Daphnia pulex: one gene and its partner. The protein of the gene in region 2 purifies or fractionates together with the protein of the main gene of each other region. This does not show direct contact. Links are inferred from orthologs where the notes say so. Each region holds a gene or a part of one and is shown on either strand. Other genes may lie near its edges.

What was found.
Region 1: the proteins of nucleoporin Nup37-like (region 2) and nuclear pore complex protein Nup133-like purify together in Homo sapiens (affinity purification with mass spectrometry; 4 studies listed by BioGRID and IntAct, with this or other methods). This does not show direct contact. The link is inferred for Daphnia pulex from reciprocal best matches to the Homo sapiens genes NUP37 and NUP133.

Annotation. Positions count from the first base shown.
Region 1 is NC_060023.1:10,061,660-10,072,224, reverse strand, and holds nuclear pore complex protein Nup133-like, read right to left. Parts: upstream 6,489-10,565; 5' UTR 6,085-6,488; coding exon 6,047-6,084; intron 5,982-6,046; coding exon 5,851-5,981; intron 5,793-5,850; coding exon 5,461-5,792; intron 5,400-5,460; coding exon 5,094-5,399; intron 5,040-5,093; coding exon 4,416-5,039; intron 4,354-4,415; coding exon 4,043-4,353; intron 3,977-4,042; coding exon 3,529-3,976; intron 3,470-3,528; coding exon 3,063-3,469; intron 3,005-3,062; coding exon 2,831-3,004; intron 2,747-2,830; coding exon 2,533-2,746; intron 2,462-2,532; coding exon 2,236-2,461; intron 2,165-2,235; coding exon 2,019-2,164; 3' UTR 1,888-2,018; downstream 1-1,887. Other genes in the region: uncharacterized protein LOC124198669, read left to right, coding at 1,295-1,637, 1,712-1,767. UniProt on the Homo sapiens protein: Involved in poly(A)+ RNA transport. Involved in nephrogenesis.
Region 2 is NC_060025.1:2,844,655-2,854,703, reverse strand, and holds nucleoporin Nup37-like, read right to left. Parts: upstream 4,282-10,049; 5' UTR 4,076-4,281; coding exon 3,926-4,075; intron 3,833-3,925; coding exon 3,653-3,832; intron 3,592-3,652; coding exon 3,438-3,591; intron 3,368-3,437; coding exon 3,139-3,367; intron 3,052-3,138; coding exon 2,895-3,051; intron 2,824-2,894; coding exon 2,731-2,823; 3' UTR 2,666-2,730; downstream 1-2,665. Other genes in the region: histone-lysine N-methyltransferase SETD1-like, read right to left, coding at 1-652, 718-895, 958-1,050, 1,119-1,322; axin-like, read right to left, coding at 8,005-8,131, 8,195-8,342, 8,407-8,480, 8,546-8,716, 8,782-9,125, 9,190-9,404, 9,473-9,617, 9,695-9,805 and 1 more. UniProt on the Homo sapiens protein: Component of the Nup107-160 subcomplex of the nuclear pore complex (NPC). The Nup107-160 subcomplex is required for the assembly of a functional NPC.

The DNA.
Region 1 (10,565 bases), on a different chromosome or scaffold from region 2:
ATAATATTAACAAGCTAGAGAGCAGAGTTCATACACATTGACAAGCCTAAAGGGAGGGTCTACTACTACCGATGCGTCTTTTAAAATCAATTAGTTCCATCAACGACGTGGCCAAGTTAATTTGATAATAACGCCACACCCACGTAAGCTGGCGACTCCATTTGCGACTTTTCGATTCCGATTATGCTGATGGCTCACAACTCGAATTCGACCGAGAAATTAATTCGCGTTCACGAAACATTTTTTTTATTATTATTCGGTTGCTTCACAAATCCAGTCACGTTCAGCTTTGTTGTCAATTATACTTAATATGTGCCTCACGATCTTGTTTTTTTTTCTCTCTCTTTTCTGCAAAGTGTTTCATATATATTGATCGCTTCAAGGATCCTGCTGCCGGCTTCGGTAGTGATGGTGGGAATACGTGCAATGCGTTTGGAAACCCTCCCCGCTCGAATAGACTGTTAAGTTTCTACGTCTTTGTTTCATATGTATTTTTTTGTTTTATATTCCGGAATCGGAAGTGTTGTAGACCCGTCAAACTCTCTCACGCTGCCTCCGCCCGGAGATGATTTCGTATAGTGCGCAATTAATAAGTCGGTGTGGGAACTAACAGGGAAATTGTGTTTCAATCTTTCTGATATACGGACTTTTATAGACATTGATGTAGGAGTGAGCGCGGTCTTAAGCTCTGACAAGATTGAACGATCCTGCTGGGGTGAGAGTAAGCCCGTTTTGGACGTTTAAGGCCCTTAGATGAAGACCTTTTCCCTGGTTGTCCTTGTATTGAATCCGAGCCGACAGCGCGGTCTAAAGAGGCTCAAGGGAAAGACCAAAAAGACAAGAAACTTGATTGTAAAAAAGGAACAGCAGCCAAAGAGCATGCGCGGGAGCTATGCACGATTTCTTTTCTTTCTATCCCTTCTCCGTTTCGCCCTTTTTCTTTCTTTCATGTCAACATGCTTGTAGGGATGCTGATGAAGATGCGTCGTTGTGTTCTAAAATGGCTCCCCCCCACCGGTTCCTGTTTGGTCCATCAAGTAAATAAACTAAAAGGCGTCGGTTTAAGGCATTCGAGCAGACTTCCCTTTTAGTTCCAGTCGGTCATTTTCCCAGTTCTCTTTTCTAAACGGTTTTCTTCTTTTTTCTTTCAATTCGCAATTTATCACACTTTCTTTGTTTGTGACGCGTCTGTGTTATTTGATTCGACAACCCTTTCGTCCCAATCGGATATACTATACATTTCTGTTGGATTTCTTCTTCAAGTTTGACATTGATTTCATTGAAATCAATAGTCATGGGTGGTAGTGATTGTTTGAACAAACTTTTCGAGTCGAAGCCGGCCTATTCCAGCGTGATAATGCCAGGTGAAAATCACAAGACCCATAGGGGACACGAGAGAAACACCAGTCTCATCCGCGTCTTCACCGTCGTTGCATACATTTGCAGTGTTTCCATAGCAGCTGCTGTTCTCTCGTTGTACTATTTCTTTATCTGGGATCCGACAACTAATAATCAAAACAGCACTCTAGTGACTTACACTAGCAACTCTACTACTTCTCACCTTTTGGGCCATTCCAAGAGCAGTAGTCCTCTTTTACGGCCACTTCTTGGCAACTGCAGTCTCAGCACCGACGACGGTATGTTTAGCAAATCAATCGACTCACAAGACATGTTGATTTCCTTGTTTGTTTCTTCCTTTCCCCCAATCCAGTAGCTCACGGCAATCTAACGTCTCCGATGGAAGGCAAACCATCTGCTCTCTTCTAAAAAAGGATGTACACAAATCGTCGTCGTCGTAAAGCTCTTTAAATACAAGAAGATTGAACAACACTTTTACACATTCTGGTCGAGTGTTTTCCTTGTTTAAAAAAAAAAAGACAAACAATGTGAAAATGGGGAATTTGTATTTTTTCTTTTTTTCTTGGTGTTGTCTTGGAGACACACAAACTCATTTTTGACACGTAAGAAAAACTAAAAATAAACAAAGAGGAAATGAAGCATCATTATCTTTTATATATTTAGCGAGTAGCTTCCATTAGAGAATTGACGTGCTCGTAGACGGCCTTCAGCAGAAACTGGAACACGTCATTGCCGGCCAATTCGGATAACTGCGGCTCACGCAGGATTTCTTCTGGGTTGGGCAGTAAATCGGCCAGATCTTCGCCTGCGCAAATAACACATCGTCAATGAAGGAGCCAACTGACTAATAGCCTCGAAATATTTTAGTAATTGTACCAGTGCCAAGAGAAAACTCAATAATCTTAAAAAAGATCGTTCCGCTGATTGACTGCAGCACATTGTCCGTGTCAAACTGTGTCCACGCATCTCGTAGAATGGCCCGCGCCCAGATTCCAAGTCGACGAGATTCTCTTTCTTCTTGATTCTCGAGGAAATTCAACAAATCCAGCGCCTTTTTAAAGTCCAGTTCGTTGGCTAAAACATTCTCGTCGCAAATGTACATCTAGAATGTAAAGAAATAAAGGTTGAAAATCATTTTTTGAAAAAGAATTTCTTTGATTGATGATGGCAAACCTCCATCAATTCGGAGGCGGTGAACACACGCATAGTGTTAGGGTCGATGTCGTAAGCTTGTAAAACCACGACTGGAAGTTGCTCCTGATGCGTGAGTAATGCGAGTTCAGCCTCTACGTTCTCGAGTTCTGCTTGAACGACTTCCGGATCAGGGCCCAACTTTTCTTCAGTGACAAGATGTAATTTCGCTAGGCTCAGCAGCGTTCTCTTCCGACTTGACAGGAAAGAAGAGGAATAGTTTTGAAACTTGCAATCCTGGGCAATCACATTGAAGTACATTATTTCTAAGATGTGTTACCTATAGAGATCTTTCTCTACACATGCCAAATTGGTCAAAGTGTGAGCTGCGTCCAAATAGTTTTCGCTTTCTGACTGATCCACCCACAGAATGTCAGGATGGCCCTCGAGAAAAGTGCTGACTTCAGATCGACGGAGTCGTAGCAACTTCTCGCGTTGATTGCGTTGCATGTACCTTATTACGGAGTCAATTAAATGAAGGTTTAAAGGTAATTAATTAGACAACCACGTACCATTTGCAGGCGAATTCAGTAAACCCAGATTCACCGAGTTTGTCTATGTAAACGTTCAACTTGTTTTCGTTCATGGTTTCATCGCAGACGGTGAGTAAGGCTCCAAAGTCCACGTATTTTTCGGCCAGCAGGGCTACCCGCTCAAATTCACGTCCTCTGAGGAATAGCTCTAAGATGGCGCTTCGCTCCGATTGGACCTCCTGCTTCACCTGGGCGAAAGATGGGCTGTGCTCATCGCAACTCTCCAGGTACATTTTAAGAGCGTCGAGTAAGATGTCGGTTAGATTAGCGGCCTGACTCCAGAGATTGCTTCGGAGACCTGCGTCATCCGCATTGGCCACTCCTTCCTCGACTAAGAGATGTAGCAGCCGAATAATGGAAGACCGAACGCTTCTGGGTCCAGGTGACTGCAAAGAGAAACGTGTCAAGACTTTTCTAATACGAGCGGATTATAAGAGATAATTACGGCGATCCAGGGCAGGGTTTCGAAACTGTTTTCGCATTGCTCCAGCAGCTCAATGTTGCGAGCCCTGTAGTCGCGGGCAGCATTGGTCATGGCAATTATGAAATTCGTAGCGTTGCTGATTGGTTTAACTTTATCGGATGGAGAGCCACTCATGTTGGCCACAGTTTCGCAGACGACATCCACAAAGCAAGGAAAAAAATCTCCTAGCGCAGTAATGTGTCGGTAGAAGAGATCCTGCTGCGTCAATTTGTCATTTGTCAGTTCGACTGCTCTTTCTTGAAGGACCCGTCGGATGGAAGCATCAATAAGTGTTGAACCAGGCGTATGAAGGGCTCGTAGGGCCAAGGATGCACGCAATTTCTCGGCATGTTCCATCAAAACAAATGCACTAGATTTAGCACCGCGACGGTCACCAATGGCTGTCAAGTCGCCCCAAATTGACATGTTCCTGAATAATTTTTGAAAACGTGAACAGAATGTTAATGAATAAAGACTAGTATATAGTGTGACGTACCGAAGGAAAGTAAGGAACAGGTCGTGAGCCTTGACTTTATCTTCCAACTGATGCAGGACTAATAAGGAGACGGTGGTGAACGTTGACTCGTGGCCAGCTGGAACTGAATCTGTCCAACGAGGATCTGTGGCTGGATAGTCGTCGATGATTTGTTGACTGAAATCAACCACCATTCTATCCATGAGCGAATCTATTTGGCCTTTACTGGTTGGAGAGGCAAATAATTCTTCTAGAAGCGACTGTGTTTCATAAATATTTTTGCGACAGAAATTGATGAAAGCCAATCTCAATTTTGATGAGGTAGATTCATTCTGCAAGTAAAATGAAATGCTGTAATTCACCTTGAAAAACACTGATAAACTTTTCAACATACCTGGGCGGGATCAAGGTTTTCGGCCATAATCTGGGAATGTTCCATAATGGATTCATCAATAAAAGATTGGCTGTCATTCGGTCCACCGATTGAAGGTTGTAAAATCAAAACACCGTGACGGGTAGAGAAGAAAACGGGTCGCTGATTAAAGACTCCTGCACCTAGGAAACGTTCATTGGCAGCCTTGACTTCAAGCTTGTCGGGTTCTTCTAGTGGCTCGTTGGACGGTACACACAGGATCCATTTATCAGAGTACAAGTAGGCCGTCGATCCCACGAGAACAAAGCGACACTGGGGAGGGGACGATTCCTGTAAAGATGAATCTGATCGCTCAGCCATGGCTGTGGCATACTTGAGGACACAAAAGGAGGAAAAACCAGTAGGTGGCGAGCTACTTTGCATTGGCAGAGCGGCCAAGGCGTATTGGATTTGGGAACTCAGGTTGGGATTGGAGGCGGCGATCAGCAAGATTAAGTCGTTTTTGTAAACTTGGGCATCAAGAATCCAGACTCTCAATTTGTGGATGCTGTTGCGGTCACTTCGGCTCCAGACGTGCGCAATAAGAGACTCCCTAGCCCATTTGTCAATATCACACTGATATAATAGCCGCTCTGTTTCACCAACCTAGACACAAAACAAGTTTAGTGGGTTATCTTGCAGATTTTTATGTAGATTTACCTGCCAATACTGCAAAGTTTGACTGCAAAGGATTTGAACTTCCAAAGTGTGACTATCTTTTTTCTGGCTCAATAGTTTGACTAGCCGTGTCTCCATCGACTGATGTGTTGAAATGGGTCCAAATATCAACGACGACATTCTACGGCTAATGGAACCTAATAGTCCCTGCGGTGTCTTGAAATTCCGGCACTGTATGTTGGGACTGCCATCAGTCAGGCGAGGTGTCAACAGCAGGACACTGGCAGTTGTTGTGGCTACCAAACAGCCCAGAGGCATAGCTTCACTCAGAGTATCACATTCTTGACCCTGTTAATTTCAATACTGCAATTACTTGTTGTTCGATAAGAATTTTAATCTGAAATTTTACCTGAAGATCAGCATTGATTTCAACAAAAAAGTTTTCGTGAGCAATGGAATCCCAGTAACGGACAGTTCCTTCTGGTGACACAGCAATGCACGATGGGACACTGTCAGCTTCTGAGCAGAAAACCGCCACAAGATCTGATTTGTGTGCTAGATCACTTGGAGGTAAGGTCAACTCATGAGACTTTGGGGAAGAAACAGCAATTGATTTCCTTGAAGGTGTTGATACTGTGTTGGCACCAGCCGCCTTGGAGTACTTCCATATGACAAGTTGCCGTCCACACACAAACCAGGCCCAGCCATCTTTAGACAGTGTAACACTGCATTCCGCTTTCCCTGAAAGCGAACATGAAATTTAATTTGGTCGAGTAGGGTCACATATTTATCAACTTACTTTCTGCCGAGGAAATGAGTTCAATTACAGCTACGGGTAAAGCTGTCCCATAATTTTCTAAGGCATAATTTGACGATTCAGCCAAATTACGAGATGATGCATTCAACGAACGTGAACTGACATTCAATGAACTGAAAGAAAGAAAATGGGATCTTAGCATGTTTGATCAACTTAACACAACTTGTTTAACACATACTTTCTCCGCCCGGCTTTCAGCAAATTTTTTCTATCCATTTGTTCGGTATTTATTCAGTTCCTTCACTTTTTAGAGACTTGAGATATTTTGAAAAAATTGTCGTCTGGCACGTTTAAAAATAAAATCTGACGGTGCTAATGGCGGCGCAATGTTGCCGTGCCTCATACAACTCAATTTCTTTTACTTTTCTTCTCTTATTTTTTTAATGATGTGTTTTGCATACATGAATTTGGATTTTAAAATCATATTAAATACTAAAGTATCATTTCAGATTAAATTTAGCACAATAATTCAAGAAAACTGATTGGTGAAATTGGTGAAAATGTTTTTCATTTGACACAGCGATGCATGTAAATTGAACATTAAAGTTAAACCTACTTTAATTGATTCATGTGTTACTTGATTGAATTGCGTAATTGATCTGATAAAGTAAACGAGGATCTATTTAACGGGCGGATGGATACATCAAGGAAGTCGATTACTAGTGGCGCCTCTGGTGAGCAGAATGGTCGAGCACGAGCCGAATCGTCCGATCCGAGTCAGTTGCAGTCGAGAGTCGAGTCACGACCGTCCCACCTACCCCGGCCAACGTGAACCGGTGCGGGACAAAAACAACAGGAAAGAACGAGAACGAAAGTGGTGGTGGGGGCAAACCAAGTCTTGGAAATTACTTTCAAGCCATTTTTATCTTTTGGTTTCTCAAATTCCCAAAAAGTTGAACGCAAATCTCGCCACGCTCGATGCAACAACCATCTTTTCACAACGGGCCTTGTTGGAAAACTTGAAGAGGATTACCTTTTTTTCTATTACCTCGTGGTTTTTAGTGTGTTGTGAGTGAGTTTTTAAATCATCTACAACCGTCTAGATACAATCAACGTCATCGGTGAGTGAACGATTATATTTTATCTCCATCTTCTTCCACGTTTTTTCCCCACCCATTTGAAATGAAAAGATTAGTGAGATAGGACTAACTTATTAAGAGTTGGATACAATTGCGGTCGAGCCAGGAGCTAGGGCATGCTATATATTCCCAAACGGGACGATAGCACAAACATCACGAAACCAGTGTTGTTGGGCTGTATACGTGCGTGTGTGTGATGTGTACAGTTCTAGATTTATCCGCCTTTCCTTTTAGATATATTGACGAATTCCGGATTATATAGGCTACAACGTGACGAATAATTAAAATATTTCTCGATCGTTGTGTATGTATATTAAAACGGGATGTAGCTCAAACAACGTGCTGGGGGGAAATGAAACAAAACTTTTTTGATATCCCTCCCCGGAAGTTTCAGATAGATTTTCCTTCCGGTACCTGCGAGTGTGTGTGTACATGTGTTATTCTCTAGCACACAAGAATAAGAAGTGAAAGAGGTGATAATATTAGTTTCCCCTCCAAGTGCTTATTTTCCTTTCAAATTGAAGAAACAAAAACAACTAAAAATTTTCTTGTTTTTTAAAAGCTTTTTTTTTCCCTTTTAAAATGGACGTGCTCACTATGATTACCGCACAGCTGCATTCCTCCACTCACGACACGAACGTTTTTTTTCTCTTTTTTAGAGGGTGATGTTTATCGAAATAGACTGGAGAGGGGGGGGGGGAAATCAGGGAGGAGTTATTTCCAAAAGTAGAAGGAGGGAAGAAAAAATATTCATCAAATCGATAAGGATCGTTTTTTCGTGTGTGTGTGTATATTGAAATCCATTTCCGATACACATTTCCATAACTCTCTACGTGACCTAAATACTCCCCGAACGAAACCTTTTTTCTTCTTTTTAGGATTGAAATATCAAACAAACGGGGGGGAATAGTTTTTGTTGGGGGGGTTATTAGATTCCGTTCTCGTCTTTCACCTCGTTATATCCTCCCGACACAATCCAATTTTACTTCGTGTTTTTTCCTTTTCCTTTGAAAATGGAAAGGGAAAAAAGATCAATGTGAGAATGTTATGTTTTAGGGGGAGAGGTGTGAATGTTGTTCCAGATGCCAGGAGATGACGTCACCTGCGGGGGTGTTAAAACACACACACACACGGGGTTTACAAAAAATATAAAATCCTTTTTTCAAAGTTTTTGAACGGGGGAAAAAATATATAGACCGCGCTGTGTACACTTTTTTGTACGGGAACATTTTTTGAATGTTTACCTTTTTTGTGTGTGTTGTTCCTATCAGCTGGTGGCGTTGAAGGGCTCCGTGTTTACACAAAGTTGTTCCACCCATTGACGGCGATCAATACTTTTAGATGTGACCCCTTTAAAAATTTTTAAAAAAGAAGTTGTTATCTAGTCACGATTGGATATATTGGAATTGAAGGCGAGATACGATCGTTGATTCAAGGACATTTCCAACAAAATCATATTTCATTGAAATTTTTCTATCGAAAATGTGAACGATCTTCTAATCGTGAAAAAGTTGAAAGTTCACCCGAAAGAGAGAAAAAATCTCACCCTTAACTCCCGAGCTCTACAGTCAGGGCCGGTCGTCATTTGTTTTTCGTGATTTGTTTGTTATTCATCAATGGTATATATATATAAGAGGATGGGCTTTTTGATATCTGCGGTCAAAGCTCACAGACGGTTATCGTGTCTAGGTAATCAAATATGCGTATTTAATGTTATGTTTAAAAAAAAAATCCGTAAAGTTAGTTTGAATCGAGTTTCTGAAATGGGATAAAAGGGGGCGTTTCAATTGTGAATTTGAAAAAAAAAAGAGTCAAATCCTTTGAATTCAATCGGACGATGATTGCAGTTACTCGCACTGTTGCACCTTGTAGAGTCTCTCTCACAGTCCGACAGCCGTGGAAAGATTTTAATTAGAAAATTGGATCCTTGATTGTTAGTAGTACGTCTCTCTCTTGGAGCTGTACAATGTGTGTACTCCGCAATGTGATGCGGAAGAATTTAATGAGAGTGGACTTTTCTCTCTCTCTCGAAAATCCATTTCAAAGTGGATATATAAATCCCATCAAAAAAAGGAAGAAAAACCCGTTTTTTTTCCTATTATACATTTTTAAATGACCTTCTTTTTATTTTGATAAGAAGAAGGAAAAAAACCCTGAAGGGCGATAAAAGAGAGAGAGAGGGAGGTCTTATTGATTTATTGATGAATGCCCAAGCACACACACACATACGAGTATATTTTTCTTTTTCATTTTCTCCCCTTTTTTCTTTACTCGTAAAATATTTGTTGGGAGAATGGTTGATATCAACTTCATCACGGTTCCAAAACTGACATGAAGAAAAAGAAAAAAAACTACACTGCAGGGGGTTTACGACTTGGGCGTCTTTTAATGGTAAAAATCTTGTGGGGGGGGGGGAAGCTATATAATAAATATATAAGGTTTTTTTTTTTTTGCTACAATCATCCAGTGTGTTTTTTTGTTCTCTTAAGATGGAGTTGAATCGAGTATGTGCAGTAATCTTTATTATTATTATTTTTGTGTGTCTGTTGTTTTGAATTTACGAGGACTTTTGGGTGGGAGTATTTTTTTAAAAGAAAGAAACAAAAGGGAAAACCAGCCGCCGTCCAAGATTAGCATCAAAGACTCGTAAATCTATCGTGAAATCTAATCACACAATTATTCTCGTGAGCCATGAGCCGTGACTAGGGTGGAGAAATAAATTGAACGAACCCACCACCCGGGGGGCTTTGATTCTTTTTAATATCAAAAAAAGTTTTTTTTTTAGTTTTATTTTTTTCGGCAGACATTTAAGTGATTAGCACCGCTCCAACAGATCGATATTATGACAACTCATTTCAAGTTGGATGTCTTCCAATCAAGGAGAACTGGGTGGAAATATCGAACCAACAACTTGCCGAATAAAAAATAAAAGAACTTTGACGAGAAAATGGATGTATAGCCTCCTATTTTCCCGATTCTTCTTTTTTTGGCGTGCATTCTCCTTTTGTTTAACTTTGCGTGTCGCGGCAATCACGAACCGAGTGTTGTTGTTGTTTCTTTTTTTATTATTATTCGAGTTGAAAAAAGAAGTTGTCCTCACGACCGGGGACCAGCATTTAAATGAATCGATAAATAATAACCAAAAAACTACAAATGTAACAAGCCGATTTTTGCTTGAATCCAGTCGCTTTTTGATGTATGACCAAATTGTCTTTCTTGTTCTTTTTTTAAAAATAAAACAAAATTATAGAGGCTCGTTAACAGAACAATACCAGTTGATAATTGCGACATTTTTTGCGGGACAACAATTTTTTTTCTTATCGATGGCAAAAAATCAAAACGTGACGTCACGTTTGTTGGCGTCTTTCTTTATTGGCATTGGCTGTGTGAGAGTTGGTCAGTGTTGTTATGTCACGTTGTTTTTTTCCAAGGAGGGGGGGGGGAATAAACAAACAAAAATTCGTCAATGTTATTTGACGAAAATGGCGGCCAAGAAAGGTCATTCGACAAACATTTAAATCCAAGGGTGTGGTTACCGCGTTTGGGTTATCGAGTAACCTCGACTAATTCGTAGAATTTCGTGTCATTGAGAAATTTTTTTTTTTACTAAATAAAAAT
Region 2 (10,049 bases):
GCTTTGTAATGCTCCAAATAGATTTCTTGAGAGAGGAAGGGAGAAGGAGGTGGCGAAAGAGGTGGACTGGCGCACGGATCAACATTTTTATCGTGATCAGCTGCTCGACTGCTACTTCGCGAAGAACCTGAATTACTGCTTCCATCTAACTGAAGTTGCAGAAAAGCAGGTGTGTTCAATGCGGCTGAAATCTTCCCCTTCAAGAGTAGCTCAATTCGGGAATCCAAATCCAAAACAAGTGGTTCTTCATCCTTCTTCTCTTCTTCGTGATTACTGTTGACAAGGGCTGCCTCGGGAGGCGGTTGTGTCACCCAAGAGGGAGCAGGCGTGTTCCAAAACTGTTGATGCCATCCTCCATAGAAATCAGTAGAAGGTGGTGGAACAGAAAAGGCTGGTGGTGGAAAACTGAATGGCCCATCGACACCGACGCCGACATGGCCGTTGGAATTAAAATAGTGCTCCTCTGTTTCAAGATTGTTGGTGTTTTGCTGCTGACTGTTGCTGTTCTCCCTTTGCACCACTGGCGGAGGAATCGGAATAACTGTTTCTTTGAGCTCCTCGTTAGGTTTGGGTTCAGTTTTTTTTATTTCGGGTTTAACTTCAGGCTTTTTCTCTGCAGTTAACGATTCATACTGTTTTTTGCACTCCGCACCTAAAAATGTAATTGAAATATTTGTCAGCCAATAGAAAAAAATGACACTAGTGCTGGTGAATTACCAAATGGATCAAGAAACACTTGCAAAGGTCTTCCCATAACTGAGGTTTGATTGAGTTTTTCTACACAAGATTTAGCATTTTTTACATTTTCAAATACAACTCTAGCCAAACCTAAATGTTTATTGTTTTTAGGATGGTAAAATATCGTAAGTTCCTCAAATGGACCATGTTTTTTCACCTACAGACGACAAAAGATATTTTAAATATGCACAGCTATTAAAACACTATATTAAGACATACCAGATCTCCAAGAAAAACTTTATCAATGTTATCATTGACATTGCATATTGTTACTTCAACTGAAGGTGGGTCTCCTATATACTCTGCATCTATCTGTTAATTGAAAATGAATCAGTAAACATTACACATACACAAAATTAGAAATTTTATGAAATTGGTACCCTGAATCTTGGCACAGGAAGATCAAGAACTTCAGGCCTGGACCAAATAAGCCTTTGTATTTGTGAACGTGGATCACGAACATGAACTACAGGGTAGGTGGGATCTCCTTGAACTTGCCCTTCATATCGGAAGAGCTTCACTGCTCCTTTTATTATAAGTGGATCTGTAAGGAGTTTCCAGTTTTTCTGCTTTGCCGGATTCATGGTTTGTGTTGGTTGTTTGAAATCAAACCAAGACGGCTTTCAGACGAACCGTTTCTGACAGCACAATAAAATTTAAAAAATTTATAATTAGTAAAAATTTACTTTTTACTACTAAATGATTCTACGATGACTCGTGAATCAAATCAAATTAAAATATACAATTATAAATAAGTACCTTAGAGGTACATGATAAATGACAACACTAAAAATCCAAAACACGTCCCCAAACATTCAACACTCATCCACGTTCGCCATTTGTAAAAAGGACTTCCTAAAACGCAAAAGAGACTCGTGGAACGCAAATACGGAAATGCAAAATGGTGATGCGGAACTGCTTTTGAAGTTTTCCCCTCTCGAAAAGTCGAAAGGAAACAGTTAAATTGTGAGTCAAATTGTGACAACCTGAAAACGTATATTAGTAAAAGCATAAGATACTGAAAACATTTATCGTTGCTTAAATATTTGCATATTTATATTTATAAAAACTTAAATTGTAAAAGCCTACAGCCTACTGTACAGCAGATGGAAGTTACTGAATTTATTGGGACTGATATTGTGTGCATTGACTTTAATCGGATTTAGATATTTGCCTACATTTGGTTAGTGTTGAATTTCATCATTCATTTCGTTTGTTATTCTACTTATTTTTCATTGCTCGCGTTTTTGCTCGCGACTCGCCGGTTCGCATCATCGACATTCCACATTTTTGAACTCTGCGTTACGCTTTTTAGAAAACCCTTTGTAAACGAAGGTCATGCTAAACGGCAGTCTGCGATATGGGTTTGAAAACAAACATTGTTTTGACTCCTGACTTTTTCTTTTAATTAGATCTCAAGTTTAATAGAAAATGAAAACTTATCCAAACAGCATTTGCTGACCAATAAAAACAGACGTATTGGCGTTCTGGTAATTATGGCAATTAAGGGCCTAGATTAGGAACTTAGGTTACCACTTTACCAGCAAGCTATAACCTGCTAACATATTGTTTCTTCAAACAAAATTTATGTTAAATTTCCTGTTAAAACTTAATAATATATATAATTTTAATGGAATCATTTAAAAAATCTTTGAATTCAATGCATGTATATGCTTAAAAATTCCATAGTGACAAATGATTTCTCCAGGATATTAAATTTAAGAAGTAGGGCTTATATTGGATTTGATCATTTAATATGAGAAAGTATAAATGTTTTTGTCAAAGTTGTTTAGGTTTGTTAATTGGCATGTCATTACTAAGGACCTATGTTATATAACAACAGAAAAGAATTACCATAACTTAATAAGTGGAATTTTCAATAAAAGTTTTAACAAAATATGTTTACCAAGAGAATTGTTAGTTAAAGTTTGGTTGAGCTCAGAATTTTATTTGATCAGCATTCAGAAATCAAAATTAATTTACAATAAGGGATTATTTTAGTAGCAATTTCCAAAATCGTACAGATCGATCGTTTGCTACAGCAAGAAGGGGTAAAGAATAATGCCAACTTAGATCGCTGGCAGCCTAAATTTAAATGGAGTACATATTATTATGAAAATTCAACGTTAAAAAAAAATTTGCTACGCTAAGTTTACCATTAACGAATCCGTTATCATTACTGGTCCTAATGAACGGAGTACGGTCACAACAGGGCCTGGTGATCCAAGAACGGCAATCAATGTATCGATGGTAGAATGAAAGCGTACTTTTCGGACCATTTCACAAGAAACTGTTGTAGTGTCTTCTGGAAGCCTTTTTTTTTAAACCAAGAAATCAAATAACAATCTGCCATGGTCGACAGCTTTCAAGTAATGTCATTTGTAAAGAATAATAGTATACCTTAATGCCTCTAAATCCCAATTTTGAATTCGACCTCCTAATGATGTCGCAATATGAGTGGGATTGCAGGACGACCAATCAGCATCAAGAGCCGGGTCTTGACAGCTAAAGTTGTTGCTCAAAGAAGTTACTGGAGAAAAATTTAAAGTACTGAAGATTCTTGTAACGCCAGACTTTTCCATCACTAAGAATTTACTGGGCTCCGAAGGATTGAATCTAACGGCCATTCCTACATAAGGTTTCCAATTTTAATCCTACAGTGTTATTTTTGTCATTTTTACATCTCATTTATAAATCACCTGAAGATTGAAGAGGAATTGTTTTTAAAAGATCTCCAGTCTCTGTAGACCAAATTTTACAAGTAAAATCATCAGAAGTAGAGATCAAGAATTTTTCATTGATGTCTGGTTGAAATGCTATTGAATTGACATTGTCAGCATGTCCACTCAATTCCTATAAAGATAATGTTGATTTTTATTTTTAAAAGACTTTCAAAGTATGCTAAACCTGTTACCAAAACATTTTCTGATTGAGCAAGATCACTTGTATAAATCCGAATTTTCCCATCAATGCCTGCTGTGGCAAATTTGCAGACTTTAGGAACTGTATCACTGGATGAGAGTGCACTCCAACTCAAGGAAACAACTGGGCAAAAATGATGAAATTCACGAATCACATTGAACTGAATCTCATCCTGACGATAACAAAAGCAATTAGTAAAACAATAGATACATAACGATGTATCAAGTAGGTAATGACAGGTTTTGACAATACAAAATGTGCTTACGTTTTCATTTTGAACGTTGGCAACGACCACCTTATTTTCCGTTCCGATTGCTAGGAAATTTTTGGACCACTCGTATGGTGAAAATGAAAGACAGAAAATCTCTTCATCTCCCAAGCCAACTGAATGAAACGGTCTGGAAAGAGAGCCCATTTCTTTTTTTATGATGGCTTTTTTACTTAAAAATCTTTTTACAAATTCAAATCGGTTTTCTGATTGTGGTTCGTGCTTCGTGGTTTGTAAAAACAAATTACGTCTGCCAAGTTACGTTGCCGAATTTCAATCCCTCATGTCGCTTTGTTGCCAGTAGCCTTTTTTTGCAACCGCTTTATCAAATTATCAACTCTGGTTTTATAAAAGCCGATAAAAGCGATAAAAGCAATAAAAGTAAAATTTATCAATCTGAAAATTAGTCAGTTATTCCATGGTTTTTCTTAACGCACAGCTATAGGTTATTAAATTACCTCGCTACCAGTGAGTATATCGGACAAAAAAGAAGAATGTGTCTGTCATGCTAAGATTTTTAATAGCAACTTGACTAATGGCAGAACACAATTTTCCGAATATGGGAATTTATCAAACATATTATTTCTGTTTTACAGATTACAGACAAAAAGAAAGAATCACCCCCTCCCCCACAAATGTTCCGCCATTTGTGTCTCATAATAGACAATATCCGCAAGGGTTTTTACCCATAATCGAGGAAACCTCACCTACGCAATTTGCCTTATCGTCGTGTTACAACTACAACACGAGTAAACTAAAGCAGATATTCATAAATGAACTTTATGTAAGAAATAATTGCGCGTCATAAACTATTTCTTAACATTTAAAAAATCGAGTAGTTTTTATGTAAATCGCACTTCAGTGATGCTTCAGGTGTTAGCTAAGTTTATAAAGAAATCCGTACTTATAGAGCCGTGTTGCATAAAATACAAATTACAAGTTATCTGTGTGATAATTATAATTACCCTAAATAATTATAATTATTGGTGCGGAGATCTATCGAATCTCGAACTCCTATCACGAGATGTCTTGCGTCTGTTACAGATGCAAGATGTAATTTTTGTCGAGTGTTTTCAATGAAAACACTTCCTTATAAATAAACGAAAATATATAACCCAGTATAATTTACCATTTAACCGAATCATTAGATAATCCCGCAGATCGATTGAATTTCTGTTTGCGTGACACGAGGGAAATATATTTCGATTCATCTTTTTTCTTTCCTTAATGGACACACGTGATGCGCGATATATGAAGCAAATAGTCGCGCGTGTGTGTGTGGGCCGCCGATGCCGCTGCGCCATTAATCAAATGGAAAGTGCCAATGGATTTCGGGCGCGGTAAGCTCATCCGGAGCTTCATCATCATTATAATCTCTTTTCCGACATCACCATTTTCTCAAAGAAGAAATAAAAGCTGCTGCCCAAGTACAAAATATAAATAAGGCGTCTCGAAAAGATATAAATGACGCACTCTGATGTGGGGTCGCCTAAATTATTTCACGTACCGGAAAAATCCAAGAAAAAAGAAAATTTTATTCTTGCGCAACATTTTATACCAATCCAAAGTGCTGGCGGAAGGGGGGTAAAAAAAAATCTACAAGTTCACAGAGTGCAGAGTTATAGTGGCCATATATTACAACACCAACCAAAGTTGTGAGTTTTGCGCTTGATTGAAATTACACACAAGAGAGCGAAAGGAAAAAAGAAAAATCAACTGGGTTCATTAATATCATCTTTGATGATTTTTCTATAGTTAAAATGCAGACGTGCCCATTGTTCCGTTTGGCTTCGAAAAAATATAAAATTCGATTTGTTTTTTTTTTTTCCTTTTAATGACGCAATTGACTATATATGCAACTTTACTGGCCGTCTAGAAATTAATCTCGTGTGTGATGTACGAGGCTTTTTGGCTGAACTGGCCCGCGTTCCCTATTCCCTCTACTGATTAGATTCTTCTTCTTCTTTTAAGCCAGTTATCGGAGAACTCTGATAAAATAAACTATTAAACTGAAAGTTTTAGGACTACACTCGGGTCGGCTTGCCGTCTGCTGGGGAAATGCTCATCCTCCTTCCTTTCTCTCTCCTGTGTATCTTCTGCGTCAAGACAAGAAAAAATTGACAACGGATTTTGTATTAATATAGACTGAATTTGCGCCTTATTAATGAATGATCATTTTATTGAAAAGTGAGCATATTTTATCGCATCTTGATGAATAAGAACAGGGCATTAGAATGTTATCATAACCTATATCAAAGGTGCAAGCTTAGTTCGACTAATTCCCTAAACACCATTGAAATTTACATCAGGCGCAACCTATAACTACACATTGATTTTGGAGTCAACTAAGGTAAATTAACTATCCCAAAACTTGCAGCACGTCTTAGGGCTTCTAGTGACTGTTCTGGGGCGGCAGACGACGTGGCTACCACCACGGGCGGCTGAGCTAGCCATACCAGAATAGTTACTCGTCGAACCATTCAGCGCAACAATCTGGGAAGAAGTTAATTACTCTCTAAATCGAACGTTAAATATAAATACAAAGTAAAGAAGAACTGTAGTGATGGAAGCATAGCAATAGGAACACGTGATATTCGTGTATAACTAGACTTGTACGTATGCAGTGATGTGCTAATCAATACGATTTGCATGTCGAAACAAAGTTCACAAAGAGGAATTTTTTAAAAATAATAATATCATGTTTTTTTAACGACATTTTCTTTCCCGACCAATAATCGTCCCTATAGTATCGTCCCTATAGTGCCTCACTGCCTCCTTTGTGTGTGTGTGTGCTGCTGCGTTCATCAGGGAGAATCGGAGAATCTAATGAAACGGCGTAGCAACAACATCAGGTCCGTCTCGGTCCTTTCGTCGTTGGTTCGTTTCCACATGCCAACATTAAATTAGTCATATTGGTAGTAATTTTGCCGGAAATTCCGTGATGGTCTAGTATGGTAAATACTTATATATTAATTAATTTTATAAGTTCTAACACAGCGACAGCTATAGAATACAAGTGACTCCGAGATGTCACAGTCTTAGTCTATTACGGCCATTGGCAGACTATTGATATGCTATCGTGATTTTTTAATGAAATAAAAATGACAAACAGTCCTTTGGATATTTTGCTAACGCATGTGATCTGACTATTTCTTTTTCCCATAAAAGAAAATAGACAAATCAAGCACTTCGATTGTAGTTAGATGTCGCTAGCATCGCATTGGTTTCTACTTAGTTCTTGCTTAAATTCCCGCCCAAAATGAGATTTATCTTTAAAAATGGCAAGTGAAAATGTGAATAATTATGATTACTTTCGTTTCAAATGAAAATTTGAAAAGTCGTTTGGCTTGAAATTCTTAACTGCCAAGTATAGCTTCACAAAAAACATAAAAAACCCCGACTTATAATGAAACCAAGTTGGATGTCGAAATGAATGTCCACAGTTATACAAAACAATTTCATAAAATTGTAATGAAACGTTTGCGTATTAGTAATGCTTCAGATGAAGTGGCGGTTTTATTTGGGCGGGATGGAGATAGTGGTAGACGAGGAATCGGAGTTGAACACATGTCATTCCTTATCTTTCAGAGAATACTCGATGGATGTGTACAAATCAGACGATTGCGAAGTTAAAAAAAAAATATTCTGGCTAAGGCAAATCTTCCAACATTTTTTTTTCTTAAATTAGTTTTTTTTTTGGCCCAGACAAAGTATAAAAAGGAAATGCAGGAGGGAAGAAAGAAGTCTCAGCGCGACAATTAAACAAATATTCATTCATGCTGGAAAAAGGGTAAATTACTACGACACGATTGTTGCACGCTTCTCAAAATAAAAGAGAAAAGAAATAAAAGAAACTCGATTTCTATCAAAAGACAGGAGTTAAGAGAAAAAACAACGCGTGAATCGATGAAAAACGACAATGACAAAAATAGAACTGACATCATACAAAATAAAAGACAGGGCTGAAGATTTTGAAGGAGGGTAATGTTAAGCTGCAACATAAACTCAGGTTCATTTTAAAGAGTTTTTTTTTGTAAAGTTTTCAAGACAATATCTTTTCCATAACATCATCAATTCTAATCGACAAGCTTGACGATACCCAGCACTTTGTCTTCCCAGAGTGGTAGAATCTCAGAGTCGTCAATAACCTCCTGATTGACTGCCATCGCTACGTCGTCCTCGCAATTCGTCTTAAAGTAGTACCTAATTAACAAAAGATGATTAGAGTACAAAGCTTTGTGAAAAATAATTAAGAGTCTTCCTTACTTGTAGTTTCCTTTTTTGGGCACACAAATTTCTTTGAATTGCTTGAGCGTGACAGTTCGTCCAGGTATCCGGCTGCGGTAGGGCACGGGCTCATCTCCAAAAGTGAACGTCACAACAGTGCATTCTGTTGGGGCTGAGCTTCCTTCACCTGTGAATCAAAATGGAATGAGTGGGGGCGAACAACCAACGCTGCTGAATTGTTCCTTGTTTACCTGAGAGAGCTCCACTACTTGCTGGTTTCTTCATCGTTGTCGAGTGAGTGGAAGTTGGCTGTGATACGCTAGGTCTAGAATGATTGGATCAATAAATGAATCAAATAAGTGAATTTAGTTTTCGTTTTATTAAACTTACTTTGGCTTGGTTGGAGGACGATTTCTAGCCATATCGTCTTCACTTTGCGTTAAATGACCGGCGGAAGCTCCAGCTCGTTCCAGCGATTCCGACCTCGAAGTCCCGTAAGCGGACTTGTGTTGCCGACTCCTTCTGGAAGAAATGGGTGAAGTCGAACTCGGTGGACGCGACCTAACCATCAAAAAAGAAATTGTTAGAGATCCACCCGATTAGGCCTGAGTTGATTAAACAATTACCTGTGCTTGCTGGAAGACGGATCTCTATCAGCTTCTTGCCATTTGTCATTGGTGCTGATCCAGTGGAGCACTTTTTCCTTGGGTGGCTGTGAAGGCGGTGCCATTAGTGTTCCAGGATTAGGGTCCGTATGGAGGCAAAGACCACTGTCATGGACACGATCGTATTCTGATTTCTTGCTGCCGATGGCACTGCTAGCTCCCCCAAGAGAGGACGTCATACCAATCCGGCGCGTATCAGGAATTGATTGCGACTTGGAAAAGTGAGCTCGATTTTCTCTTCCGCTGTCACCTTGATCGAGAATCGCACCCGAGTCTGCTGAGTAGGTCGAACCCTTTTCGATATCCTGAAAATTAAAATATTCCGTAAAGTCCCAGTTCACGAAGAATTAGAATTGAATAGACATTTACCTTGTCTTTTCGCCGATGATGGGCTGAGGAGCGTTGGAAATAGCCGGGTCCATATGCAGAAGAGCTCATTATTGGTGGCCCACTGGTTTTCGTTGGAATAGCCACAGAATTCGGTGGCAATCGACGCCGGTTCTCTGGAGACCACGGCCGAGGTGAAGGTGCACCGGGTGATCGCAATGGCGTCTGATCTGCCCAGATTCTTTGGACGTGGTTATCTGTAAAAATAATAATATTCCACTCGATTAAGATAGAACTTCACAACAGATCAAATCGTGCACATTACCGAGAATCGATTGTGTGTCGGCTTCATTTGAAGAAGCGATTTTGGACAGTGCTTCTGCCAAAACACGAGCTGAGCATTCAGATCCGGGTTTGAAGCGGGCGCCTTGCGGGCATGGCTCATCCAATCCACTGGCTTCACTATCCCTCTGTATGAAAACAAATAGTTTTTGCTTAAAATGCACTTTGGCTGTTTAAAGAGAAAACGTGGGAAAATGCCACCAACCTCAGCGACAATCCGGAGCAACTTTTCTTCAGATTCCCGATCTCGTTTAACGGCTTCCAACTTTTGGATGAGCTCAGCGGCGAATTCTTGCGGCGTCTTGGGCATCACCTGCTGCGACCAAACAAGAAAAAACATTCCCTTTTTATTTAAAAAAAAAAACCTGATTCAGTCGTGATGAATGTCGAGGTGTATAACCTGTTCTTTGGGTGGAAGACGCTGAGTTCGCGGGATGAATGGCTGGTTTATAGACGGATCACGATTTCTCATACAGTCGTTTGAAATCTTTTGCCGAGCTTTGCGCAGTTGGTGCCGGTTAGGCTTGGCCGGGTAAAACAGGACAGAACCATCGCTATAA